7 linked regions of the Mus musculus genome follow. The protein of the gene in region 1 binds, or shares a complex with, the protein of each later gene. Links are inferred from orthologs where the notes say so. Each region holds a gene or a part of one and is shown in the gene's direction. Other genes may lie near its edges. The genes, in order: Ctnnb1, Cdh26, Fbxw11, Bcl9, Ctnnd1, Cdh1 and Pak4.

Region 1 (3,930 bases):
GTAGGGCTTTGGTAAAATACCTTTTCCTGCTCTATCTCTCTGAGTTATGGCAGGCCAAGTCAGCCCCAGCCAGCAGCAGAGTTTACTCTCCGGAAATCCGAGCAGAGCTGCAGAGGGGAAAGGTCTAGACAAAGGCCCTCACTGAGCAGCTCCAGCATGGTGGACTGTGGTGGTTCACAGAGTTACGGTGATATGTCTTTAAGATAGAAAATTGAGTCATTTAAAAACTAAGCTGGCCCTACAGCACCGGCCCTGCCTCAGTGATGCATGGGCTTCCTGCCAGTACCTGTACATAAGGACCTATTGTTTACTTGCGTTAATTACAGCGCTGGGATGAAAGAAGGCAGTGGGGCAACTTTCCCTGTTGCCATTGTTTGGGAAGAGACGTGAGCTCAGAATAATAGGCTGGAGACAGCCAATTCACCCCAACTGCTCCAGTTTTGACAAGTGCCAATCGTGAAGGACAACAATGGGGCCATTTCCAAGAGAAGATCCAACTTCACCCTATTGTCATGATTTGGGGGGGGGGGAGCTCTCGAAGGATACAAAATTAGTTTTGAAAATTTAAGAGGTTACCCACAGGTCCTCTCAGCAACACACTCGAGTTTCTCAAACAATACAGAAAAATCGCTGTCCTTGGTCCCCACGCCTGGTTCTACTGACCCAGTGAGTCTGGGTAAGATGGGGTTTCTAGGAATCACGCTGGTGAACGCAGTGGTGGAGCTGAATCACTTGTTAATAGATGTTCGCAGACACTCTTGGGGACTCCAAGGCCTCCTGGGGTGGGGAGGAAAGGTGGCTGGGCCCCAGGTTCCCTGTCCGGATTCCAGAGGCACAGCGGGAAGGGAAGCGGGACACTCCTGGGAGCGGTAAAGTGTGGTGGGGTCCAATGGTGGTTCAGGGGTGTGGCGGCCGGTGCACCGGTGATGGCAGCCTCGAACCTGCGCCGTCCGAGGCCGCACTCCACCCGGCCCGCGGCGGCGGCCCGCTCTCGATTCCTTTAGTTTCCAATGGAGCGGCGTCTGGACGCCCCGCCCCGGCTCGGCCCCTCCCGGCGGCGCACGCGCAGAGCGACTCGGACTGGCGGGGACTACTTTCCCCGGCCCGCCCGCGCCCCGCCCCTCGTCCTCGCGCGGCGGAACGCTCCGCGCGGAGCGGCAGCGGCAGGATACACGGTGCCGCGCCGCTTATAAATCGCTCCTTGTGCGGCGCCATCTTAAGCCCTCGCTCGGTGGCGGCCGCGTCAGCTCGTGTCCTGTGAAGCCCGCGGCCCGGGGAGGCGGAGACGGAGCACGGTGGGCGCCGAGCCGTCAGTGCAGGAGGCCGAGGCCGAGCGGGCGGCCGCGAGTGAGCAGCGCGCGGGCCTGAGGTGCGGCGCCGCGGCGGGCCGGCTCGCGCCGCGCCAGCGGGAAACTTCGCGGGCCGGGTGGCGGCGGGAGGCCGCGGGGACGCGCGGGCTGGGGCCGGGGCCGGGCGGGCGCGCGCCGGGAGCCCGGATGGACGGCTGGCCGCCGTGGGGGGTGGGGACCGCGGTTCGCGTCCGGGCTGGGGCCGCCGCGGGGGCGGGGTGGGCGGGGGCCTCGCCTCCGTGGCCCGCGGAGCCGGGGGGACGCGAGACCTGGCGCTCGTCCCCTCTGTCCCTCGTGGAGCACGCACAGACAAATTTTTTTTTCTCCCTGCAACGACCTGACTGTGAGTTTGAATCCAAACAACTTTAAGCCGTGGAGTCGCCAAACTTGGATGCAGCGGGCGGGATGCGTCAGGAGCGTGTTCTCGGAGGGTGGCTTCTTGGACTCGCGTGGGGTTGGTGGCTGCGGGGCCGAGGTCCTGGCGGGAATTTGGGACCGTGGACGAGTCACCGGCCACTCCTGGTGTTGGAGGCGGGGGGGGGGGGAGGTGCGCGGGATCCGAAACCTGGGCTTGGGGGAGGGGGACTTGCCCTTAGCCAGTAAGTGTGGGGTCCGCTCCAAGTGTTTCTCCCCAGCGCGTTTGCTTTCTGAGCGAGACGGAGTGGCCGGAGCGCGGACCGCCAGGGCGTGGGAGCCTGGCGACTTGTTCTGAGTGTTGTTTGGGGGACCAGACTTGGAACCGACGCTCCCAAGTTCGGTACCCCAGGCCCGCTCCGGTGAGCCCGCTGGCTGCGGGGCAGCTTTGTCTCGGGCTCGGGTCTCCAGACATCTGTGGGCTCCCCTCCCCCGCGCCCCCCGCAGCCCCCCTCCCGGGGCCTGAGCTCTGAATGGAGAGCGGCTGGGCTGCTGGTATGCGGAGGTCGGCGAGAGGAAATCGAGGAGTGGTTTTAGTGAAACGAGAGCTTTGTGCCATGAATAATGGTGGCTTAGACCAGACAGCAAGCTGAGGAGACGGCAGCTTTGCCTTTGATAAAGTCTGCCTCATGTTTTTCACATGGCCAAGTTGTGAAGCGTTTTGTCTGGGATTTAGGAAGCCATTTCGCTATTTACTTGAGGTTTGCAGATGTCTCAGTGCAGTCTCTCCTCGTCCCGGGAAAGAGCTTGCTTTCTTGGTTCTAATTTAATGTTGCTTAAGCTTGTGGCCTTTGTATTTCGGTTTTGTATGTCCGGCTCAAACTTTGAGTTAAGGCCCGCAGTTACATTTAGTTCACTTTCACCTTAAACATTCAGAAATCCCCGAAATTAAAATGAAGTGCCTCCAAGGTTTGTTTGAGAACGCCCTTTCACAGCGGACAACATTGTTGATGGTACTGGGGATAGTCATTCTGTGACCTACCTAACCTTTGTCCTCAAGGCCGAGTCTGGACAAGGCCTTTAGTGGTGGCAAGGAAGTTGGAAACTTGCAGATGTTTCTCTACAACAAACCCTCCCAGGCTGAAGTCCTTAATTAAGGAAGCAGGCTATCTGGAAAGCTTAGCTTGCCTGGGACAGAGTCCTGGGCCTCACAGTCTGTAAAAAGACTATCTTCAGATAGGGAAACATTTAATCGAATGCAGGCGTGAAGAAATAGAGTTTAACTGTCATGTGATCATTTCTCATAGTCTAGAGCAGTGCTTCTCAGTCAGTCTTCCTGATGTTGTGACCTGTTAAAATAGTTTCTCAACTGTTATGGTGACCCCAACCGTAAAACTTTCCTTGCTACTTCACAACTGACTTTGCTACTGTTGTGAACCATAATGTAAATGTTTTCCCACGGTCTTAGGTGACCCCTGTGAAAGGGTTGTTGAACCCCCAGATTGAGAACACTAGTTTAGAGACTGTATATTGGGTATCTATGTCTCCAGCTTGAAGGGAAGTATCTACTGCTGTAGTGACGATGGGACTAGAGACTGTGAGTGAAGCCTTAGCTCACGAGTCTCAGAATCCCAGAATCCCACCGCCAAGGTGGAGGATGGGGAACTTTCTTAGTCGGAGTGTATTTTGAAATGTGTGCTCAGGAAAACTGGTGGAGCCCTTTTGCAAATAAACTCAGGGCAGAGCATGGACAAGAGCCTGTGCACACTGCAGGTGGCGAGTGGAGTGGAGTGGTATATTTACAGTCGTTTGTTGCTGTACTTCTAAGCAGGAAGTGGACAGTGAAAGTAGATGGAGTCAACTGAAATATCAGTGCTGAGGTGAGGTGAGGTGAGGCCAGGTCGTGGTCTCTGCCCATCACCTAGTGGTAAATTTTTAGTGTCCTTGGCCAGAAGCAAACCCGAGGGACAAACTCCTGAAACGGTGTTCACAAACTCGTAAAAACCTTGCAAACGTACAAACATTTTAACTCCATTTTCTTTTGTTGTTTTGTGGCCCCTGTCAACTCCTTTTTATTTAAAACAATCTCACTGAAGACATCTTCATGCCACAGAGAGTAAAGTAGATGAGCAGCTACAGTTCTGAGGCCTGTGGAGGCAGCCTCTGTCCTGAGAGGACGCAGCTTGAGGAATGTTAGGCAGCCCTGCGATGCTTGCTCTTCAGCAAC
Region 2 (3,500 bases), on another chromosome or scaffold:
TAACTGTTGCATTAATGATTCAAGCAATTAATTTTAAAAATGTGTCATTTAAATTTTTTTAATTACATAAACCAACGTGGGATGTTTTCAGATGAAAGCAACTCATCCAAATGTTTACACAAATGGCAGAATAATCTTACAGTGAAGCCTTGAATCAGAAGCCTCCCCTGGCTTAGGACAAAGCTATGTGTTCAAACGTAAGCCTGGGGAAAAATACATTGCTGACCTGCTGTGCTTGCTCGGAGACCTATCGCCACAAAATTCTGAAAATCCAGCCATTTCAAGGAACCACGTGTGCTGGAAAGATGGTCACCTTGATCCAAACAAATCTCTCTCTTGTTGAGGAAGAGCTGGGGTACTTAAGGCTCGTAGGCTGAGATGTGTACTGCATCTGATATCTTTATTATGCACTGACTATGCTTAAAATCACCCAGCTGTAGACACGGAGTCATGCCATTTGTCATGCCATTTGTTAGAAGGATCCCGCTCCTGACTCAATGGTATTTTCTGCTATAACTGGAGGAATGCCAATACCCGGAGCCTGCGGGTGTCTTGCTAAGGACCTACCTCTCCCTCCTCTCGGTTCCTGCCCTCCTCCTCTTGCTTCCTGCATCCCTCCTCTCACTTCCTGCTCTCTTCCTCTTGCTTCCTGCATCCCTCCTCTCATTTCCTGCTCTCTTCCTTTTGCTTCCTGCATCCCTCCTCTCACTTCCTGCTCTCTTCCTCTTGCTTCCTGCATCCCTCCTCTCACTTCCTGCTCTCCTCCTCTCACTTCCTACCCTCCTCCTCTTGCTTCCTGCATCCCTCCTCTCACTTCCTGCTCTCCTCCTCTTGCTTCCTGCATCCCTCCTCTCACTTCCTGCCCTCCTCCTCTCGCTTCCTGCATCCCTCCTCTCACTTCCTGCTCTCCTCCTCTCACTTCCTGCTCTCCTCTTCTCACTTCCTGCTCTCCTCCTCTCACTTCCTGCCCTCCTCCTCTTGCTTCCTGCATCCCTCCTCTCACTTCCTGCTCTCCTTCTCCATGGTGTGTCTTTGTGCCAGTGACATGGAAACGATGATTATTTCTTCCAGTATGAGATTCGGATTTCTGAAGGTCAAGTCGAACAGGGTGTGTTGTATCTCCCTGTCCAAGATGGAGATTCTCCATTTACACCAGCATGGAGAACACAATTCAACATATGGGATGGCAACGAGGAGGGCCATTTTGATATTGTGACTGACCCTGAGACCAACCAAGGGTTGTTAAGTATTATCAAGGTAAAGTCAAGACCGGGTTGTGGTGGGTGTTGTAGTCCTTGTCTGGAGGACAAGCCATAATGCCTGAGGGGCTGGTACCTGCTAAACACTCACTGTGTGTCAAGTGTGTGTTGTGCCCTGGGCAACCCTTAGAAGAATGCAGGAGCAGATGAGCCCTTTGTCTAGAGGCCAAGGACTCCTCTTGCAGAAATGATAATAACCAACTTTTAAAAATCTTATTTGAGTGCCTGGTGTGGTGGCGCACGCCTTTAATCCCAGCACTTGGGAGGCAGAGGCAGGTGGATCTCTGAGTTCGAGGCCAGCCTGGTCTACAGAGTGAGTTCCAGGACAGCCAGGACTACTAGAGAAACCCTGTCTCGAAAAACGAAAAAAACAAAACAAAAACAAAAAACAAAACAACAAAAAAAACTTATTTGATGCTTTGATGTTGCTGTTGGAGGTAAAATTTACTATGTTCACATGAGCCCTGGAGGTTGGATGTTGTTGTTGTTGTTGTTTTGTTTTGTTTTTCCTGATGCAATGAAAGTGAACTTAAAAATTTATTCATTTTCTTGGTAAAGGGTTTCAAGTCTTGGAGACTGCCCTTGAATTCACTATGTAGTAGAGAATTCCCTTAAGTTTCTGGTCTTGCCTCTAACTCTGCAGTGCTGGGACTGTGGGTGTGCACCCCCATGCTTGCTTTGTGTGGTGCTGGGGATCAAGCACAGTACCTTGTGAGGGCTAGGCAAGGGCAGGACTGGTTGGGCCGCATTCCCATTCCCTTTAAACAGGCTTCTCCAACTAAAAGTTCTTTTAATCTCCTGGGTTTAAAACATTTTAAACATCTGAAGTGTAAACATTGGGGCATGTGTGATGAGCAGAAGAATCTATCTACTACATGCAGTGGAGTAGCTGGCCCTGGAGGGAAATAGTCTTGCCATATTTTATAGGTGAGGAAATAAAAGATCAGACCGATCCCTTTATATAGAGTCACATAGCTGAGAGGGTGGCTTCTGACAGGGCACTGCAATGCTGAGTCTTTGTGGCTTTCAAGGAGACACAAGGATGGCCAGTGCCTTTCATCGTACAGCAAATCAATTGCAAGGACCAGCTGGAGTCAATACATCTGGTACAGTCGAGAGTTTGCCTGTTAGTTGAACAAGTTTCAGGAAATACCAAGGAGTGACAGTCCACACTGTGCATAGCAAGGTCCCTGACAGCCTTCTGCACAGTCGCCTGCCACTGAGTTATTTGTCAGAAGCCATCTAGAAAAGGCTAAGATGTGCAAGTGAGTTTTCTGGAGATGAGCTACCATCTTTACAAGGCCTTCAGTGGGAGAGCTGTGAGATGCAAGGTCACCAAAGACTTCATTCTAAGGAGACACGGGAAACCTGCCTCTGCACTTTCCTGCCATCAGCAGTCAGATCTCCCCTTCCCCACTTTCCCAGCATAGATGCCTCTGGCCTTTGGAGAGGTCAAACAGAAAGGGGCCAGCCTGGCACTGGAATATTGCAATTCATTTTTTCATGGTGGCACTCCCTTCCCCATAACGACCTCCCTGGGGCGGAGGTTGGGGATGGAGGGGCAGCGGCAGATGCCAGCTTTGGGAACAGACAAAAAAGCAACATACCCTAGTCCCTGTGTCACCAAGGCTAACACTCTCCTTGATAGATAACCAACATTTCTCCAGTGCAGATGGCTCCTGCCCTTGAAGGGAACAAGGACCAGACATTCTTGAATTGATAAGAGGCCCACTCTTAGACCATGAGAAAAGGGCAATTAAGTGTTCCTAAACAGCTGTGACCAGTTTGTAAAAATACACCAGCTTCTGATAATACCATAAAATTACTTTCCAGGTCAAGAAGGTCCCCTCCCAGCTGCATGGTTCCATCCTGATGTCTGAACAAATGTTATCAGGTTTAAAACATGGCTTTCCCCTGTCACCTCTCCAGTCATACAAACCCAAAGATAGAGGATCCCTGCTTGTATATATATATATATATATATATATATATATATATATATATATGTATATATATGTATATATATGTATATGTATATATATGTATGTATATATATATGTATATATATGTATATATATGTATGTATATATATATATATATATATATATATATATATATATACACACACACACACACACACACACACACACACACACACACACACACATATATATACTCCAAGCCCCTAGACACAGGCATCATATCCCTAACCTGCCCAGTGGGGAAGGCTTTTGATTTAGG
Region 3 (4,197 bases), on another chromosome or scaffold:
TGCTCCCTGGGAATCGTTAGAGTACTAAGTCATCCTCTTTACAGGGGCAAAGAATTGAAACAAACTTGAGAAGCAGGCAAGCAGGCACTGCTACTGTGAAGTGGGCTGGGTACAATGAGCCAGGCCCTTGAGACACTTTATAACAGCTCTGACTGCCAGGTCTCCTGTAAACATAAACAACTTAACAGTCCGTCAACATTAGACAAGGCCATTCTGTGGCCTTAGCTTATGGATCAAGACAAAAACAAGACCACCCCATAATCATTTGTGAACACAGATAAAACATGGACATTGTCCAAGTCCCTGAAACACAGCTACAAGACTAAACACTTGAATCTGGCTAACAGGAGAGGCTGTCAACAATTACTGGATTAGTTTTAATCTAATATAACTTCCCATAGATAAGGCTGAGGTGCCCAGTCTTATACCCCCACTTCCCGGCAGTATCTGCTCCAAAGCCCCTTCAAATCCTTTTCTACATTACCTAAGGTCTCTTACTGAGACGTCCCTGCTTCATCATGGTGTATGTTCATTTCTACTTCAGCTAGGAAAAAACCCACCTTGTTCAACTATCAGCGTGTTCCTGGGGGCTTTTGGTTCGAGGGTATTGACAGACTTGGAAGTCACAAGGAGTTAGAGGTTCTCTGAAGTCTCTAGATGCGTTTCTTCATATCATTTCTAACTCTTAGTCAATGTCTGCTGTCTTCCCACTAGAATTAAGCTGAATAAGAACAGAGGTCTCTCCGGTCATTCCCAGTGCTTAGGGCAGTACTAGTAGAAACTGAATGCTTAAAAATAAGTGTCTTCGGCCGGGCGGTGGTGGCGCACGCCTTTGAGGAGGTGGAGGCAGGCAGATTTCTGAGTTCGAGGACAGCCTGGTCTACAAAGTGAGTTCCAGGACAGCCAGGTATACAGAGAAACCCTGTCTCGGAAAAAAAAAAAAGTGTCTTCAAAATGTATAGCTTCTTTCTCATGGCTCAGCTCCTCCCAGTCAGTGTGGCAGATCTCCACACACCGCTTTCCCAGCTCAGTCTCCAAACTCTTAGATGCCCATCTTCCTTTAATTGTGTCTTCGACCTCGCGGGCCCCCTCCCACACTTCCTAGTGCAACCTGGGACCCACCTGTCTCCACCATCTGTCCCTACCAAATGCAACACACACGGAACGGCAGCGCTGCAGCCTAGACGACTAGTGGGCACCGCAGACACCCACTGCGCATGTGCGGAGATCGCTCGCTCGCACTGCAAAGATCTCCGACAAGTGAGGAGTTGCCTCGGAGTTTCCGTCCAGGTCCGTGCGGCTACGGGCTGCCAGGAAGTCAGGAACGACCAACCGGAAGAAGACCTCGCGCGCGAGGATTTCTGGGACAAGTAGTCGCGGCGCTCGCGAGGCCCTATCGCGAGCAAGCCCTAGATACTCCAGCTCTGCACGTCCGGCACTCACAGCCCTGCGCTCCCCTAGGTGCTCTCTCCGGTGGCAGAAGCCGGCAGATTGGACCAAGCGGCTTCTTGCTCCCACAAAGCTGCGCGAGCCGCCGCGGCTGCCGGGAGTTGTAGTCTTCGCTGTGCGTCCTGCGTCGGCCGAGGGTGAGGGCGGAGCTGCGGGCGGCCCGGGCGGGCTGGCAGCTAGAGTGGGTGCGAGAGCTGCCTCCACCGCCGCCGCCGCCACCGCCTCCTCCGCCCGGGCCGATCGCTGCTGAGCGGAGAGAGCGAGGCGGGGCCGCCGGGGCCGCCATGGAGCCCGACTCGGTGATTGAAGACAAGACCATCGAGCTCATGGTGAGTGCGGCCCACTGGCCTTCAGTTCTTCCGGCCGGCCGGCGGCCGGGGGGCCTGCCCACCCCGGCGTCCGCGCCAGGCCAGCCCTCGTTCCCCGCCGCCTGGGCCCGGCCGCCCCCCTGCTATGGCTCGTTGCTGACGCTTCGCGCTCTTGGGCCGGCACGGCCTCCACTCCCCGCGGCTCCCCCAACCCCCTCCTTGCCGGGCTCCGGCCAGTCTCCGGCGCCCCAGCCTCGCTCCTGCCGGAGCCACTGCTCACTCTTGCCTTGCCATCACACTCTGTTTTTAGAAGGGGATTTCTTTTTCCCTTCCCTGGATTCCTCTGGCCGGGCCTGCATCGCGCCTCCCAGCCTCGCTCAAGCTGAGGGTGATGGTGGTGGAAGGGAGTCCGAGACCAGTTGGAGCCGCTTCGGCCTCCATAACCTAGGCGCGGGGGGTGGGGTGGGGTGGGGTGGGGTGGGTGGTAGGGGTGGGTCTCAGCACCCTCGCCCCAAGCTACCGCTGTATGGATGCCAGGATAGCCCCATTGGACTGGGATGTTGGGGGTGCCTACGAGTCTGAGGCTGTTCCGGATAAGGGGCCTATTTTCCGGGCCCCTGCGGTGTCAGGCTTCTTGGACAAAGGGTTTCCTACCCTGCCGTGAAGGATGTTTGTATAGCAAGGCCCTAGGTACTCTTGAATTCCATCCCCCAGGAAAGGGAAACCATAACTTTTATCATTTGGGAAATGAGAGGGGAGGGAGAAGAGGTCGCGCTCATCACTGCCACCCTCTCTTATTTTAATAATAAAAAATGGGAGGGGGGTTTCTTGGCCCACGGATAAGCAGCGATCCCTGTACTGTTAGGAACCATTGGTAGCCAGCCTGGTCAGGTCTCCCCGGACACCCCTAACCCGTTTCTGACCTCAGACTTGGTGCTAGAAAGGTTTTTGGAAACAGGACTCTGAGTCTGGGAAAGTGAAGGATTTGCTCATTGGCGGAAGAAATAAAGTATGGCTGACTGGTATTACCTGCCAGTTTGAACGTGAGGGAAATCAAACTGGGCCCAGGAGAGTTGGGGAGGAAATCAGCCTCTGCAAATGAACATACAAAGGGCTTCTTCCTGTGAAAACCTTGATAGTTTTCTTTGTATCTCTACTGATATAGTAACAACTAGTATCTGCTCCACAGTATTAAGAAAAGGTGAAAGATCTGCTGAACTTAGCAAGATGTTTTCCTCGTCAGAGTTTCTCCAGTGTGAATCGCTTATTGAGTCAGTGATTCCACTGGGTAGGGTTGGTGACATCAGAGCCACTTCCCCCATTTAATGCTATAAATAATAAATGGTGATACTGAAAGTCTGTTGGATAGCCTCATGGTTTCTGTGGATGATGTTATCCAGGGAGCTGAGGTACACGTTTTAAAATGGAAGTATAGTAGCATAAAATACAGAGTCTCATGTCTGCTGGACTCTGCACAATGTGCAGAACTGGATTGTTGAAAATTAAACCTGGAAGTTTCTGGTTGGTTGTATGTGTTGAAAGGAATTCTGTCACTTTATCTTCAGGTTCTGAGGACTTTTTTCCATTTTCAGAATCGAATTGTTGGTTATAACAGTTTGGGAAACTTTGATAGTTATTTTAACAAAATACCTTTTTTTTTTTTTTTTTTTTTTTTTTTGGTTTTTGGTTTTTGGAGACAGGATTTCTCTGTGTAGCCCTGGCTGTCCTGGAACTCACTCTGTAGACCAGGCTGGCCACCAACTCAGAAATCCGCCTGCCTCTGCCTCCCAAGTGCTGGGATTAAAGGCGTGTGCCACCACTGCCTGGCGACAAAATATCTTTAAAAAGTTGTTGTTTAATAGGGAACAAAATAGCCATGAAAGGAGTTACAGAGACAAAGTTTGGAGCTAAGACAAAAGGATGGACTATCCAGAGACCACCCCTCCTGGGGATCCATCCCATAATCAGCCACCAAACCCAGACACTATTGCATATGCCAGCAAGATTTTGCTGAAGGGATCCTGTTATAGCTGTCTCGTATGAGGCTATGCCAGTGCCTGGCAAATACAGAAGTGGATGCTCACAGTCATCTATAGGATGGAACACAGGGCCCCCAGTGGAGGAGCTAGAGAAAGTACCCAAGGAGTTGAAGGGGTCTGCAACCCTATAGGTAGAACAACAATATGAACTAAGCAGTACCCCCAGAGCTCGTGTCTCTGCTGCATATGTATCAGAAGATGGCCTAGTCAGCCATCACTGGGAAGAGAGGCCCCTAGGTCTTGCAAACTTTATGTGCCCCAGTACAGGGGAATGCCAGGGCCAAGAAGTGGTAGTGGGTGGGTAGGGGAGCAGGGCAGGAGGAGGGTATAGGGAACTTTCCGGATAGCATTTGAAATGTAAATAAAGAAAATATCTAATTAAAAAAAAAGTTGTTTATGTA
Region 4 (3,500 bases), on another chromosome or scaffold:
TAATATTTTATTGACCTTTATGCTTCAAATTAGCCTTGCAAATTGGCTCAAAAAATATCTTAGCCTTCAAAGATACTCCTTTACCTTCCAGTCTGTGGCTCATTGCCATGCTTGCCCATGTCCCTGTCATTAAGGTGAGGACACAGTTACAAAATCTGCATAATTTAATAGAAGAATCATGGAAATGGGGGGGGGGTGGAGGGCAGAACTGATTGTATTGGTATTAGCTTAATGTTTGTTTTTAGAAGAGTCTCCTTCAGTACCCCATCCCCCTCAGGCCTGAAGAGTAAAAGCATCGATAATTTGCTACATAGTTTGAAATTGGGATGGGTTTGTTACACATCTCTGCCCTTGCTTGCCACCGCAGCCCACCATCAGAAGGCAATGCCCAGTGGTCTCAAAGCATTATTTGGGAGAGGGGGCAGACAACCCAAGTCCATTGAGACTGTTACATTCAGAAACAAACACAAGGGAGAATAAACAGCTGAAAATTAACTCCCTCTTCTCAACCACAAACACAGTTGCTTGGATGGGAGGCCCGTGTGCTGATGAGAAATTCTTAGTCCCCTTCAGTTGCTTAAACACTGGAGCTAATGGCTGCAAGAGGACTTTTCTCCTTTATCCAGCAGGAGTGGAGGCATGCGCAGCTGTCTCGTGCCCAGACAAATGACCCTGTAGAAAGGTGTTTCTGTGTTCATTTTCACTCTCACCTCTTGCCTTGTGTGTCCTTCTCCTGTAGTGTGCCCTGGAGATGCGAGATTTTCCTTCAGCAGCAGGAGGCACACACTCAGAGAATGCTGGAACTTCAAGGGGGAAGGACCCACTTCCACAGCAGAGAAAAACAAAGAGGAAAAAGTCGAACAGGCAGCCAGCACTAAGGGACGCACCAAGCAAACAGTGGGCAACCGCCTCTGCCCCTAGCAGCTACTTCTGCTGCAGCCCGAGAGGAACTCGGTGAGCCTGTCTCAGTTAGTGACCGAGAGCTCAGGATTTCAATCAATGCATCCCAGTAACCCTAAAGTGAGGAGCTCGCCATCAGGAAACACACAGAGGTAAGGGCAGGGCCTCACTCTCACCCCTCGGCATGGCACATGGGCACCACACACACTCATTGCTGCAACCGCGGGTACAGTTAGAAGCAGGATGGACACTCGTGGCAAAGGAAGAGGAAACTTACTGAAGCAATAACAAGTGCAGTTTTTCTGGGCTACTCTCATCCACCGTTCCCGTATCTCCCACCTGTACCATTTCCCCACCCTTCCGAAGCAGAAGCAGAAGGACCTTACAGACCAGCCAGCACCATCTGAGGATCTGAGGCATAGAGTAATGAGGTCCTGGAACTAAGCCACCACCAACTACCACCTAGAGCCCTTGCTGTGATTCTCAGTACCCAGTTATTTAAAAGAATGTTTTGTCTTCCCTGGGCAGAGGCTGCCTGCCCTGCTTTGGTGCTGTGTTGCTGTTGGAAGGGATCTGGACACTGGAGGATTTCCCTAACCTGACAGCTCCAGTGGGTTTCCCTTCTGCCCTCCTGGGCCTGCTTGCTTGTTCCCGCAGAGCAGCTAGGCTTTCATTACAGCTGTTCCTTGTCATGAGCCTGGGGGTGGTAGTATTTTGATCTTAACGATGTCTGTTTGTTTACTCTGAGCTAGTCTTAGTGTGAGAGTCACTTTTCTATGTACATAGAAACGGTTGTCCTTTATTGACAGAAGCCCTAGAGATAGGTCCCCATGTGACTCTAGTGTTCCTGAGACCTGGAGGCCATTCTGTTTGATCCTCCTCTCTGTTGATAGCTCTAAGATGGGAGCCAGGGTGGCAGGGACAAGCAAGTGGGCAAGGTTGCAGCACACAGGGGCTCCTTAACCCATTCTAGAAATATCAGTTTGTACTGGCCGTATCTGGCATCTGATCTCTCTTTGTTATTTGTTTCTTTTAGTAGCCCTAAGTCAAAGCAGGAGGTGATGGTCCGTCCCCCTACAGTGATGTCCCCATCTGGAAACCCCCAGCTGGATTCCAAATTCTCCAATCAGGGTAAACCGGGGGGCTCAGCCAGCCAATCCCAGCCATCCCCCTGTGACTCCAAGAGTGGGGGCCATACCCCTAAAGCACTCCCTGGCCCAGGTGGGAGCATGGGGCTGAAGAATGGGGCTGGAAATGGTGCCAAGGGCAAGGGGAAAAGGGAGCGAAGTATTTCGGCCGACTCCTTTGATCAGAGAGATCCTGGGACTCCAAACGATGACTCTGACATTAAAGGTATGTCTACAAGATCTTTGAGACTCAGAGGGAAGTAGGTGTTCCCTGGGGAAGGCGTCTAACATTCAGTAGAGGCCAGAGGCTGCTGTCAGTGAAGTGGGAGAGGAGGCGGCAGAGCCTGGAAGTCTGCAGCTTAGGATAGATAAACCACTGCGTCTCATTTTTCTCCTCATTGAAGAAGAGTCTAGAACACTTCGTTGAGTTCTTGCTCTCGAAGGTGTGTGGCTTGATCAGATATCTTACAGTCCTAGCTCATGTTCGTAAGCATATTTCTGGCCTGCACTGTGGTTCTTCAGTCAAGCCAGTAGCTGCAGTCAGCTGTGTCTTTTGCCCACACTAGAGCAGCTTCTCTGACATTCCCGCCTTGGAGAAATCCTCCAGGACTTAGGTTTGTGCTTTCTGGTTGCCACTTTGCCAGACTGATAAACACAAGGGGAAGCCTTAATGGCCCTGGCACTAGTCCAGAGCTGTCACAGCTGATTTCAGTGTGGCAGGAATGAGTGGCTACCAGATGTGGTAGAAAGTTGGCAGGCACCACAGTGGAACAAGTCAGGGAAGAGTATTGGTATGGGGCTTTCAGCTTTTTTCTTCCTACATTAAAACTAAAAAAAAAAAAAAAAAAAAAAAAAAAACAAACAAACAAAAACAAAAACTTAAGAGCAGGCCAGAAAGTGAAGATACTGTTTGTTGTTTAAGAAATGAAAGTGAGATTTCCTCAGCCCAAAATGAAAGTGTAAACTGAATAACCTCCCTGCCTCTCCCTGCTTCCCTTTCCCCTCCCTTTCTGAAGTGTTCCTGGAATCCCAGCCCTCTCCTGGGGACTGAGGGTGCAGACAGCAGGACAGATAGTTGTCATCCTTAAGGACTTGAGGGCACCTAGAAAGCCAGCCATCATCAGACCATCCGTATGAAATATGATAAATACTAAGTTACTAGAAGGGAGCTATGAGTTTGATTACCAGGGGTATCCTGTCGTGTCTAAAAGGTTTCGGAAAGGAGGGACGTTCATGCTAATGTGTGTGCTGTAGACAGGGGAGGGCGGAGGAGTGATGCATAATGAGTCATTTAGGGAAAGTATTTGATATATATGAGTAGAAGAGACAATTTCTCTTAGCAAGGAACTTGCTCTTGAAATTTTCAAGGTGGATTTGTGTTGTGATGACGCTGTAAATGCTAGCAGGACGGCTGGGAGGAGCCGCCTGCTCTCCCCGTGACAGCGAGTCTTTCATTCTTTTAGAATGTAATTC
Region 5 (3,500 bases), on another chromosome or scaffold:
CTCCCTTTCTTTCTTCCTTCCCTTTCTTTATTCTTGTTATTGTTGAGACAGGGTATCACTATTTAGCTCTGGCTGGTAGACCTTTTTTAAAGGACCCATTTTAGGCTTTGTGTGCTGTTCATTAGTGCCTTTGTCATGTCTCTTGTCGGGATTTCATATTTTTAAAAGGTTATTTTAAAAACTCTTACTTATGGGTGTGCACAAAAAAACATGTTTGGTCTTGGGCTGCAAACATTACTTTAAAATCAGGGTCTATATTTTCCAAGTTAAGAAATAAAGGAAGGCTTATAGTTATCTTGATAGTGAGGGTGCCCTGGCAGCTGTTCTCAGTCTTTGTAAGTAGGTTCATGACCTTCCAAAGCAAAGGTCTTGGCACTTTCCAAATGTATATTAGGTGGTATTGGCTAACCATAAACTGAATTAGTCTGGGACAGGAGTAGAGGCCCTATTATCTAAGCCTGAGTCACTGACACTCTTCAGATGGCGTGGTTAGCAAATTCAACTCCCATGTGACTCACCTTTTATTCCTAAAGGGGCACCAGATCTTAGCTGGTGTAAGCTAGCTAGGGTAGATAGATAGCAGCTATCATTAGAAGAGTCTGCCCAAGGAGTGGGGCTGAAGTCTGCTTGCTCTGACTTCCTCAATAGCCAAGAGAGATTAGACACAGGTGGGTGTGGATGACCAGACTGTTCCCTGCTGTCCTTTGAAGTGCCAGTCACATAGAGCGGGTTTGGGGCTTGGTTCTTGGGTTTATTCCAGGGTGACATTGAGTTTGGAATCCTGCTTGACTAGCAAGATTCTTGACTAGAAGAATTCTGCTTCCTGTTTCGGCCTTCAAGAATAGTGCAAGGTCAAACTTTCATAGCAAGGCAGTGATTAGTGGCAAAAGCACTGAACTTGAAAACCCTGGTTTTAGTTTGCCTCTGCCATTATCTATAGAGCCTTAAGCAAGTTATTGGGTCATTTGTGCAGTTTTGTTATTTGTGAAAGAATCTTGATCTACTGCCTATGAAAGAAGGAAGTATAAAGATAGACTTCCTTGAGTGACTGAAACAAAATCTGGCAGTGGCAATTATTTTTATAGTTGCTTGTCTTAAACAAGAAAAGTAAAATATGCTCAGCATACAGCCTAAAACACCATTCTCTCATGGACAGTTTGGTGTTTCTTGGGGTTTTCTTGAAAACATGTATCCTGTTTTCTCATTAAAAGGAAATATTTTTTCATATAGTGTTTAGCAATCTGCTTTTAAAACAAAACAACTTACTTTATTTTGTTTAAATGACATTTTAAGTTTAAAGGTGCCTTTACTATCAACCCCCTACTTCCCTTGGTTTTTCAAGACCAGGGCTGTCCTGGAGCTTTCTCTGTAGACCAGGCTGGCCTTGAACTCATAGAGATTTGCCCTGCCTTTGTCTCCCAACTACTGAGATTAAAGCCATGTGCCACTACTGCCAAGTCTATTTATTTTTTAATGAAATGATTTGTTCTACTGAGTTTTTTATTGTTTAATGATCAGTGTTGATACCTGTTAGGTAGGCTAATTTTCAATGTTTGGTGACTGTGGGAGTGGTTTTATGGAACAAGCAAGTCTTATTTGGAGAGTCCTACACAATAGAGTCCCCTATCCCAGTGGGAGCCCGGGGGGGGGGGGGGGGGGTTGGGTTGGTGGTGAGTGAGGTGAGCTCATAGATAATAGGGTTCTTCCTTTGTACTTATAAATAACAGTGTGACAGGCTCACCCTCTAGTGGGTATTGATGGTACTGAAACAGGAAGTGTTGCTTCTCATCTGACATCTTTCAGTTTCTTCTTCTGATCCAAGAGCTGGGACATTCCAATATATGTTGGTGTATAGGTGCCATTTGGCAGACATGGAAATGTAGAAGTTGAAGGATGGAACTCTTCTTGGAACATACCTGTCTGACTGAATAGCACGTGAGGCCCTGGGATGAACTGTGACAGCTAGTGTTCAAGTTTATGCCTCAGTAGTACTAAAGCTAACTCCTCAACAATATAGCCAGAAGTCCTCTGTTTTTCTTGATCAGTGCCTCTTCAATTTCCAAAATAGGGCGAGCTTAATAGTTTTGTTCCACTAGCTCTTTCCTGTGTGCGGATTCCTTGTGTGTTCTCTTTGTGATGAACGTTCCACATACTTGTCTTTCTCAATCAGCAAACTTCACAGGTTACTTTTTAAAATTTATTTATTTATTTATTTATTCATTCATTCATTCATTCATTCATTCATTGGTTTTTTGAGACAGGGTTTCTCTGTGTAGCCCTGGCTATCCTGGAACTCACTTTTTAGCCCAGGCTGGCCTCGAACTCAGAAATCCGCCTGCCTCTGCCTCCCAAGTGCTGGGATTAAAGGCGTGCGCCACCACACCCGGCCACAGGTTACTTTTAAGTTATTAAAATTGGACCCAGGGAGAGAGTTCAGTTGGTGAAATGCTTTTTGCACAACATGAGGACCAGGATTTGAGCTCCAGTACCTACATAACAAGCTAAGCTCTGTGGTGGCAGAGATAAGAGGATCCTTGGGTCCTGCAGGACAGTCAGACTAGTTTATCAGCAAGCTTCAGATTTGGGAAGAAACTCTGTCTCAAAAAAAAATAATAATAATAATGTCGAGGGACATTGAGAGTACTTGCACTTGCTCACAAAATTATTAAAAATTGACCATACAGAGGAGACACATGATCTCTGTAGAGCTGTGATCCTACCTTGAAGATGATTGGTAATAGGAATGTCTATGAAGCCAGATTTAACTGCTTGGTTCTTTGTTCTTTCAAAATTGCAGGAGCTATGAAGACATGATTGGTGAAGAGGTGCCGCCTGATCAGTACTATTGGGCTCCTTTAGCTCAGCATGAGCGGGGCAGTTTAGCAAGCTTGGATAGTTTGCGAAAGGGAATGCCCCCACCTTCAAACTGGAGACAGCCTGAGCTGCCAGAGGTGATTGCCATGTTAGGCTTCCGCTTGGATGCTGTTAAGTCCAATGCAGCTGCATACCTGCAGCACTTATGCTACCGCAATGACAAGGTGAAGACTGACGTGCGGAAGCTCAAGGGTATCCCGATATTGGTAGGATTGTTAGACCATCCCAAAAAGGAAGTGCACCTCGGAGCCTGTGGAGCTCTCAAGAATATCTCTTTTGGACGTGACCAAGATAACAAGATCGCCATAAAAAACTGTGATGGTGTTCCTGCTCTGGTCCGATTGCTCCGAAAGGCTCGTGATATGGACCTGACTGAAGTGATTACTGGTGAGTGCCAGGTTAGAGGTCACTGTTAATCTATAGACAGGTATGGATCTAGAACTTTCTAGACTCTTAACTTTTAATTAATTTATTGAATAATTAATTCTTTTTGAGTCAGGGTCTCACTGTGTAGCTCTGGCTGGCCTAGAACTCACTATGTTGAGCAGGTTGGACTTGAACTTGAAGTAATCTACCTGCTTCGGCCTCCCAAATTCTGTGATAAAAAGCATACACTACCATGCCTG
Region 6 (3,500 bases), on another chromosome or scaffold:
ATTCTTGGGGGCAGGGGGGACCAATCCAGAAGGGCTGAAAATGTAGCTCAGTTGATGAGTTCTGATTTAGAGTACATGAGGCCCTGGTTTCTATACCCTACTATCACATAAATGCACCCATCATCCATCCTTTGTTGAGTGGAGGCAGGAGGACCTGAAGTTCAAGATCACCGATGGCCCGCATAATTTGAAGCCAGACTGGGCTTCATGAGATTGTTTCTAAAAATGTTCCAACCAAACAACAGACAGACAGGAAAGAGGGCCTGGCTAGAACTTGGCAGGCTGTGGTCTCTGTTGATGTAGTGTCTTCCTGTGGAGGGTAAGGATGAGATCTTGTAGAAACTTTGTTACCAGGAATCATTCTAAACCAATCCAGGAGGTGTCGCCTTTCATCTTAGGCTTTCCTGTTTCCCTGAGTGTGCAGGAAGTTATCTTTATTGCACATGAGAACTGTTCAATGCAAGTCTCCAGGTAATTTTTGTTTCCTAGCCCAGCTGCTTCTGTTAGAACAAATGCAACCCTTACAGATATAACACAATAAGATTAACATGTTTGTATCGATCTCAGAAATAGTTCTTTTTTTTTTTTTTTTTTTTTTAGATTTATTTATTATTATATCTAAGTACACTGTAGCTGTCTTCAGATGCACCAGAAGAGGGCGTCAGATCTCATTACGGATGGTTGTGAGCCACCATGTGGTTGCTGGGATTTGAACTCAGGACCTTTGGAAGAGCAGTTGGTGCTCTTAACCACTGAGCCATCTCTCCAGCCCCTCAGAAATAGTTCTTAATAGCAATTCCCCAAACTCGTTGATTGATAGCTCCACTTTGGTGAGCTGTATCCCTAGGGAAACAAAAGAAGAGAAGCCTAGAACTCCCAAATAGCTAGTTACTGAATTACTTCTGACATTATCAGTGTATGGCTTAAAGGGCATGTACCATATAAGTTTGAAATAACTTTTAAATACAATTGTCAAATGTCTGGACCCACAAATTTTGTATGCACAGTGATTATTTGAATGCTAAACATTAAGGATTTAATGAGAACAACCTGGTGGTGATGGCACATGCCTTCAATTCCAGCACTTGGAAGGCAGATGCAGGTGGATTTCTCTTGAGTTCAAGGCCGGCCTGGTCTGCAAAACAAGTTCCAGGACAGCAAAGGGCTACACAGAGAAATCCTATCTCAAACCAACCAACCAACCAACCAACAAACAACAACAAAAAAACATACTAACACGGGTGGTGGTGGTGGGGTTTGCTTGGGTTTTTAACTCTGGAGGTTCAAGCCCATATGATACTTTATTCTGTCCTCTAATTGGGCTAGCGTACTGGAGAGTAAACCACTTGTCATATGATCCAGAAAGCAAAGATGAGACTCGGGTCTGAATATCTTCTGTGATCTGAAGGCCTCTCATTAGCCACTAAGTTAGGGAACCAAGCTTTTAGGCATAGGAACTGTGGGAAGTCAGCGTCCAGACAACAGTATGTTTATTTCTTTGGCTTAAACTTTAACTGTTCATCTTGAATGGTACAGGTAATTTGTCATTGAGAATGAGTCACTAAATTCAAGATGGTGGACGTCCATGGGATGGATGAACTGTTAGACCCGTATGTCTTCTGCATTACCTCATTTTGTTAATCTTCTTTTCTCTTAGGACCCTGCCTCTGAATCCAACCCAGAGCTGCTCATGTTTCCCAGCGTGTACCCAGGTCTCAGAAGACAGAAACGAGACTGGGTCATCCCTCCCATCAGCTGCCCCGAAAATGAAAAGGGCGAATTTCCAAAGAACCTGGTTCAGGTAGGAGAGGAAGTTGGTGGCAGGCTCTGCCCTCTTGAGAGAAGAGAAAATGAAAAGACCCCATGTTGAGATCTTCCCTGGCCAGTTCTGATCCTCTTCTGTTTTGTGTTCAGATCAAATCCAACAGGGACAAAGAAACAAAGGTTTTCTACAGCATCACCGGCCAAGGAGCTGACAAACCCCCCGTTGGCGTTTTCATCATTGAGAGGGAGACAGGCTGGCTGAAAGTGACACAGCCTCTGGATAGAGAAGCCATTGCCAAGTACATCGTGAGTAATTTTGTAGACACTTGTTGGCCACTGGGTAACGGTTGTCAAATTTTGGGAGCAGCTGGTGTTTTATCCCCAGTTTGGATGCCCTGGACATATAAGTAGCTTAACTTATCTTAAAGTTGGGATGGTGAGTTGTTGATGTTGTAGGGATTCCTCACATCATACATGAGCTTAGATGGAAGCTGTAGGAGTGGGCCTGGAGGAATGGCTCAGTGGATAAGAACATTTGTTGCCCTTGAAGAGAATCTTGAGTTGAGTTCCCAGCATTCACATGGGTAGCTCACAACCACCTGAAACTGCAGCTCTGGGTGTTCTGACACCGTATGACCTCCCTTGATAACTGCACAAAAGTGTATGCGAACACACACAGAGGCAGAGACAGGCAGAGACAGGGATAGAGATAGAGACAGAGACATACATACATATACATGCTGGGGACTAGCCTGCTCTAACAGGTATGGAGGTGGGGGAGCCTTGGATAAAGCTAAAGGCTGGTGATAGCTTCAGAACTCTTCCTTGCTGTTTTGGGGGTCAGAAGCTGTCTGGCAATTTAACTCTCTCACTATTCTGTGGCTAAAAGCTGATGATTTCTGGCAATTAACTCCTGCTGATAGCAGCAGGGGATTAAGAAAAGAAGTTAGTTGCTTAGGCTGTCTCCTTTTTGACTCTGAGGCTGAGAGTTCTGTTAACTCTTTGTGGGCCAGAGAGAAAGGAAAAGACTCTACTCACTCTGGATGAAGCAGAGAAAAGAATCTCCAACAAATCTTTATTTCTGTTCTCAGTATACACACATTCTCTGAAAATTACCTCATACAGCTATCAGGTAGAATTGATTACATGATTTTTTTTTTTCTTTTTTTCTTTTTTCTTTTTTGGTTTTTCAAGACAGGGTTTCTCTGTGTAGCCCTGGCTGTCCTGGAACTCACTCTGTAGATCAGGCTGACCTCGAACTCAGAGATCCACCTGCCTCTGCCTCCCAAGTGTTAGGATTAAAGGCGTGTGCCACTGCTGCTAGGCTTACATGATTTTCTAAACACTTTTCCATTCTGTAAGTTCATAGTAAAAGCAGCAGTTCATGTCATAAGGTTTAAGGAGTTAGAGCAGAAATGTTTAATCTCTTCCCATTAAGATAGTATCTGACTAAACATCTGCTATCTATCTTTAGCTCTATAAGTTCAATATAAGTAAATAATTTTTTATCACAAATTAGCACGGTTTTGTGGAGATAAATCACCTACCTTTTGTCTTATTAATTTTAAAGTTTTATATAGATAAACTAGTCAATATTTTATTTGTTGTCTTTGCACCTACAATAAATTATCCATTCCCAGTTTATGACCTTTCGTTACCAGATAGTGACCTTGTTCCTAACCAGAAGGAATGTTTTCCTTGGTCATAAATTTGTTCCAAGCCTGCTTTCTTTTCCT
Region 7 (3,500 bases), on another chromosome or scaffold:
AGTAGGCCCCTCCATAGTCCCCAGACAACCCACCCTAAACACTCCCATGACCCAATGAGCTTTGTGGTCATTTCTCACACATTGTGTGTCCCCAAAATTTCACCACTGCTCTATGCACCCTTGTGTTTCCACACCTTTCCACAGTCCTGCCAGGGGAAGGACACTTGTCCTAATTCCCGTGCAGGCAGGCACCTTAGCTGGGACTGCCTAGATGACAAGCTTCCTGACCACTGACTCAGGTTCTAATAGCAGAGCCTGGCAGGTAGCCCCTGAAGGAAAAAAGAAATGAAAAAGGTAAACATGCCTGCTCCTAGGTGTGGTGGAGGAGGTTATTGTGGGTATGAGGGAGAGCACAGCCAGAGGCAGGGGCATCTGGAAGAGGCCAGAGTGGACATGACTCTGAGCCAGGTGAGGAGAGGGGGAGGGAAGAGCCAGGAGGCCAGGAGGGTAAAAGGCAGCAGAGTCAGCGCAGCCAAAATGGCTGGATTATATAGGGAAAGGCAGCTGGGGGAAGGCAGTCCAGGGGGAAGCAGTGGATGCCGGAAAGAAAGACCCTGTAACAGGTAGGGACTGAGGGATGCTGGGAAATGCTAGAGGCCTGGTCTGCTTTGATATGTCAAATAGGCACCTCAGCCATTTGTCCTGGGTTTGAAACCTAACATCCATCTTTCTTGACTCCCTGGACAAGGCCAGGCTTTCAGGCAGACAGCCAGGGCCCACAAGAGGCTGGGACCACAGCATGCCATTAGGAGCCTTATGGACTCCAGGTCGTTCCCGGGAGCTCAGTATAAACTCAGCCTCAGAGACTATCCAGGCAACTCCCCACCTCTCCTTCTTGCCTTCCTCCTCCCTTCCTTCCTTCTTTTGCAAAGTACCTTGTTCTTGGTGTGGACTCTGATCTAGGTCCAAGACCTGGTAGGCTGTGAATGGTAGAACAAGTGCTCAGCCCCGGGAAGGCCACAGGGTAAAGCAGCATCCTGGGCTCACAGCCTAGTCCGCTGCAGCAGGCCTACAACCCTGGTTCTCAACCTGTGGGTCACGACCCACATAGTGGATATTTACATTACAATTCATAACAGTAGCAGACCACAGTTATGAAGTGGCAATGAAATAATTTTGTGTTTAGGGTCATCACAGCATGAGGAATGGTCGCAGCATTAGAAAGGCTGAGAACCACTGTTCTAGAAGAAAAAAGGAAAGAGCCGGAGACTTGTGGGCTGGCATTTAAACTAGGGGTTAGCAAGTCCTCAGAGAAGGAGGTTTTGATCAGAGACCTCTGGGAGGGGAGTGGGACAGCCATGGAGACATTTGGGAGATGTAGGGCAGGGCAAAGAGCTGATGGACACACATCCAGTGTATTGGAGGAACCGCCTGATGTGCCCAGTGCTCAGGAGGAGCCAAGAAGACCACACCTCAGTGGGGCAGGGAGAGTGGAGGCTTGGTGGTTCAGGGCATGTTTCAGTTGACGCTTGCCACACAGCTCCCAAGCCTCCTAGCTTTAGGCTGTGGGCTTTCTATTCTGCGCCACATCCTCTGCCCTAGGGGATCAGAGCTGCGTGGTTTGAGGGTTAATGATGCTGGCAGCCTGCAGGGGAGGAAGTGCTGAGCCAAGCGGCCTGTAATTTGCAGCTCTTGGGGGCTGATTATAGGCTGAGTTCTCCTCCCTCACCCTAGTCCACAGGGCAGAGCTTGCTGCCAGGCTGGGAGCCAAGGAAAGTCAAGAGGCACTTGTTGGGGGAGCACCAGAGTGGGTGGTGGGCGTGACAGCAGCTCCTGGGGCTCCCACCCATCATCACAGGCTATCACCTCACCTGTCTCTGTCTTGTTTCTGTGTTGTATTGTCTTTCCTGTGTCGGATGCACGACCTGTGTCCCCTCCTTCCTGGCCCTACCCTGCCATTGCCTGGACCCCAGACCATCGTTCGGGGCAGCAAAGGTGCCAAGGATGGGGCTCTCACTCTGCTGCTTGACGAATTTGAGAACATGTCGGTGACGCGCTCCAACTCCCTACGCAGAGAGAGTCCACCACCACCTGCCCGTGCCCACCAGGAGAATGGAATGCTGGAGGAGCGGGCAGCCCCGGCCAGAATGGCCCCTGACAAAGCTGGAAGCAGAGCCCGGGCCACAGGCCACAGTGAGGCAGGCAGTGGCAGTGGTGACAGACGGCGGGTGGGGCCAGAGAAAAGGCCCAAATCTTCGAGGGATGGTCCAGGAGGACCCCAGGAGGCCTCCCGCGATAAGCGCCCACTCTCTGGGCCTGATGTCAGCACTCCTCAGCCTGGCAGTCTGACCAGCGGGACAAAACTAGCAGCTGGCAGGCCCTTTAACACATACCCACGGGCTGACACGGACCACCCACCCCGCGGTGCCCAGGTAACCCATCCCCCACTTTAGCACCTCAGTATCCACTCCATTGTTTCCCTCCCACCCCCCCGCCCCTATTCCAGTCCATAGCGCATTTCTCATCCTGACCACAGGTCATCCGGATGGTGAGAGTTAATGCAGACTCCACTCACAACGCCTCTTTCTTCTGTTGCAGGGGGAGCCACATACCATGGCCCCTAATGGGCCTTCAGCCACAGGCCTGGCCGCTCCTCAGTCTTCCTCCTCCTCCCGGCCTCCCACCCGAGCCCGTGGTGCTCCCAGCCCAGGAGTTCTGGGTCCCCATGCCTCTGAGCCCCAGTTGGCCCCCCCAGCACGTGCCCTTGCTGCCCCTGCTGTACCTCCTGCCCCTGGGCCCCCTGGGCCTCGCTCACCACAGCGGGAGCCCCAACGAGTGTCCCATGAGCAGTTCCGGGCTGCCCTGCAGCTGGTGGTGGACCCAGGGGACCCTCGTTCCTATCTAGACAACTTCATCAAGATTGGTGAGGGCTCTACAGGTATTGTGTGCATTGCCACTGTACGCAGCTCAGGCAAACTGGTGGCCGTCAAGAAGATGGACTTGCGCAAGCAGCAAAGACGTGAACTGCTCTTCAATGAGGTGGGTGCTGGCCGGGAAGCCCAATGCTCTGCCCTCCTCTCCTCACAGCTGTCCCAGGCTAAGACTCCTGCCTGTGCCTGTCATCCCAAGTGCCCATGACTTTGTTCCAACTAGTCCTGGGCCTGTGTTCTCCTCCAGACCTCTTCTCCTTCAGGGTTCCTGTCTCTGGGATGCTCTGTCATCCGTCACTCGAGACCACTGCCCAGGATCCCCTTCCTCCAGTCCCTCTTCTGTGAAGCCTCTTTCTCCCACCCTTGGGCTCCAGCTTTTCTGTCAGGCCTCCCCTGGGCACTCCATGTATCACATCCGAGAAAGGAGTCCTTTGCAGCCTTGACAGACCCTCCTAATGTCTCCCATGTCCTCAAGTCAGAGTTCAGCTCCTTGCCCATCAGATCCTGTCCCAGATAGCTCAGAACCAGACTTGGACTTGAACTTGGTTCGACCCCGTTTCTGGCTCTGGGTGTCAACCTTGGCATCCATCACAAAGGCAGTTCTGAAGTGTGTGGGTGTGACAGGTACCT

Evidence for each region.
Region 2: Ctnnb1 (region 1) and Cdh26 share a complex: the UniProt entries of both Homo sapiens proteins name them as parts of the cadherin:catenin adhesion complex. The link is inferred for Mus musculus from reciprocal best matches to the Homo sapiens genes CTNNB1 and CDH26.
Region 3: the proteins of Ctnnb1 (region 1) and Fbxw11 are in contact, whole or in part, in a crystal structure (PDB 6WNX), measured with the Homo sapiens proteins. The link is inferred for Mus musculus from reciprocal best matches to the Homo sapiens genes CTNNB1 and FBXW11. Residues at the interface, in NP_001091679.1 of Homo sapiens: Leu31, Asp32, Ser33, Gly34, Ile35, His36, Ser37, Gly38, Ala39; in NP_036432.2 of Homo sapiens: Tyr244, Arg258, Ser282, Leu284, Ser298, Leu324, Lys338, Ala364, Ala365, Asn367, Gly381, Arg383, Arg404, Gly405, Ala407, Ser421, Leu445, Arg447, Tyr461, Arg494, Phe496.
Region 4: the proteins of Ctnnb1 (region 1) and Bcl9 are in contact, whole or in part, in a crystal structure (PDB 3SL9), measured with the Homo sapiens proteins. The link is inferred for Mus musculus from reciprocal best matches to the Homo sapiens genes CTNNB1 and BCL9. Residues at the interface, in NP_001091679.1 of Homo sapiens: Leu148, Arg151, Ala152, Glu155, Leu156, Leu159, Asp162, Asp164, Val166, Val167, Lys170, Ala171, Met174, Leu178; in NP_004317.2 of Homo sapiens: Asp349, Leu351, His358, Arg359, Ser362, Leu363, Thr365, Leu366, Ile369, Gln370, Met372, Leu373.
Region 5: Ctnnb1 (region 1) and Ctnnd1 share a complex: the UniProt entries of both Homo sapiens proteins name them as parts of the cadherin:catenin adhesion complex. The link is inferred for Mus musculus from reciprocal best matches to the Homo sapiens genes CTNNB1 and CTNND1.
Region 6: the proteins of Ctnnb1 (region 1) and Cdh1 are in contact, whole or in part, in a crystal structure (PDB 1I7W), measured with the Mus musculus proteins. Residues at the interface, in NP_001159374.1 of Mus musculus: Leu148, Ala149, Arg151, Ala152, Glu155, Leu156, Leu159, Asp162, Val167, Lys170, Ala171, Val173, Met174, Gln177, Leu178, Phe253, Ile256, Thr257, His260, Leu264, His265, Asn290, Lys292, Phe293, Ala295, Ile296, Asp299, Gln302, Ala305, Tyr306; in NP_033994.1 of Mus musculus: Asp788, Val789, Ala790, Pro791, Ile813, Asp814, Asn816, Leu817, Ala820, Asp821, Pro824, Ala826, Pro827, Pro828, Tyr829, Asp830, Ser831, Leu832, Leu833, Val834, Phe835, Asp836, Tyr837, Glu838, Gly839, Ser840, Gly841, Ser842, Glu843, Ala844.
Region 7: the proteins of Ctnnb1 (region 1) and Pak4 are in contact, whole or in part, in a crystal structure (PDB 6WLX), measured with the Homo sapiens proteins. The link is inferred for Mus musculus from reciprocal best matches to the Homo sapiens genes CTNNB1 and PAK4. Residues at the interface, in NP_001091679.1 of Homo sapiens: Lys672, Arg673, Leu674, Ser675, Val676; in NP_001014831.1 of Homo sapiens: Ser331, Gln358, Thr404, Asp440, Lys442, Ser443, Asp444, Phe461, Leu475, Val476, Gly477, Thr478, Pro479, Tyr480, Trp481, Met482, Glu507, Phe516.

Annotation. Positions count from the first base shown.
Region 1 is NC_000075.6:120,932,270-120,936,199, forward strand, and holds the start of Ctnnb1 (catenin beta-1), read left to right. Parts: upstream 1-1,130; 5' UTR 1,131-1,369; intron 1,370-3,930. UniProt on the Homo sapiens protein: Key downstream component of the canonical Wnt signaling pathway.
Region 2 is NC_000068.7:178,461,515-178,465,014, forward strand, and holds part of Cdh26 (cadherin-like protein 26 isoform a precursor), read left to right. Parts: intron 1-1,071; coding exon 1,072-1,257; intron 1,258-3,500. UniProt on the Homo sapiens protein: Cadherins are calcium-dependent cell adhesion proteins. They preferentially interact with themselves in a homophilic manner in connecting cells; cadherins may thus contribute to the sorting of heterogeneous cell types.
Region 3 is NC_000077.6:32,641,158-32,645,354, forward strand, and holds the start of Fbxw11 (F-box/WD repeat-containing protein 11), read left to right. Parts: upstream 1-1,397; 5' UTR 1,398-1,733; coding exon 1,734-1,778; intron 1,779-4,197.
Region 4 is NC_000069.6:97,213,865-97,217,364, reverse strand, and holds part of Bcl9 (B-cell CLL/lymphoma 9 protein), read left to right. Parts: intron 1-739; 5' UTR 740-999; coding exon 1,000-1,052; intron 1,053-1,936; coding exon 1,937-2,253; intron 2,254-3,490; coding exon 3,491-3,500. UniProt on the Homo sapiens protein: Involved in signal transduction through the Wnt pathway. Promotes beta-catenin's transcriptional activity.
Region 5 is NC_000068.7:84,616,241-84,619,740, reverse strand, and holds part of Ctnnd1 (catenin delta-1), read left to right. Parts: intron 1-2,797; coding exon 2,798-3,261; intron 3,262-3,500. UniProt on the Homo sapiens protein: Key regulator of cell-cell adhesion that associates with and regulates the cell adhesion properties of both C-, E- and N-cadherins, being critical for their surface stability.
Region 6 is NC_000074.6:106,651,850-106,655,349, forward strand, and holds part of Cdh1 (cadherin-1 preproprotein), read left to right. Parts: intron 1-1,657; coding exon 1,658-1,801; intron 1,802-1,914; coding exon 1,915-2,070; intron 2,071-3,500.
Region 7 is NC_000073.6:28,563,685-28,567,184, reverse strand, and holds part of Pak4 (serine/threonine-protein kinase PAK 4), read left to right. Parts: intron 1-1,913; coding exon 1,914-2,372; intron 2,373-2,538; coding exon 2,539-2,979; intron 2,980-3,500. UniProt on the Homo sapiens protein: Serine/threonine-protein kinase that plays a role in a variety of different signaling pathways including cytoskeleton regulation, cell adhesion turnover, cell migration, growth, proliferation or cell survival.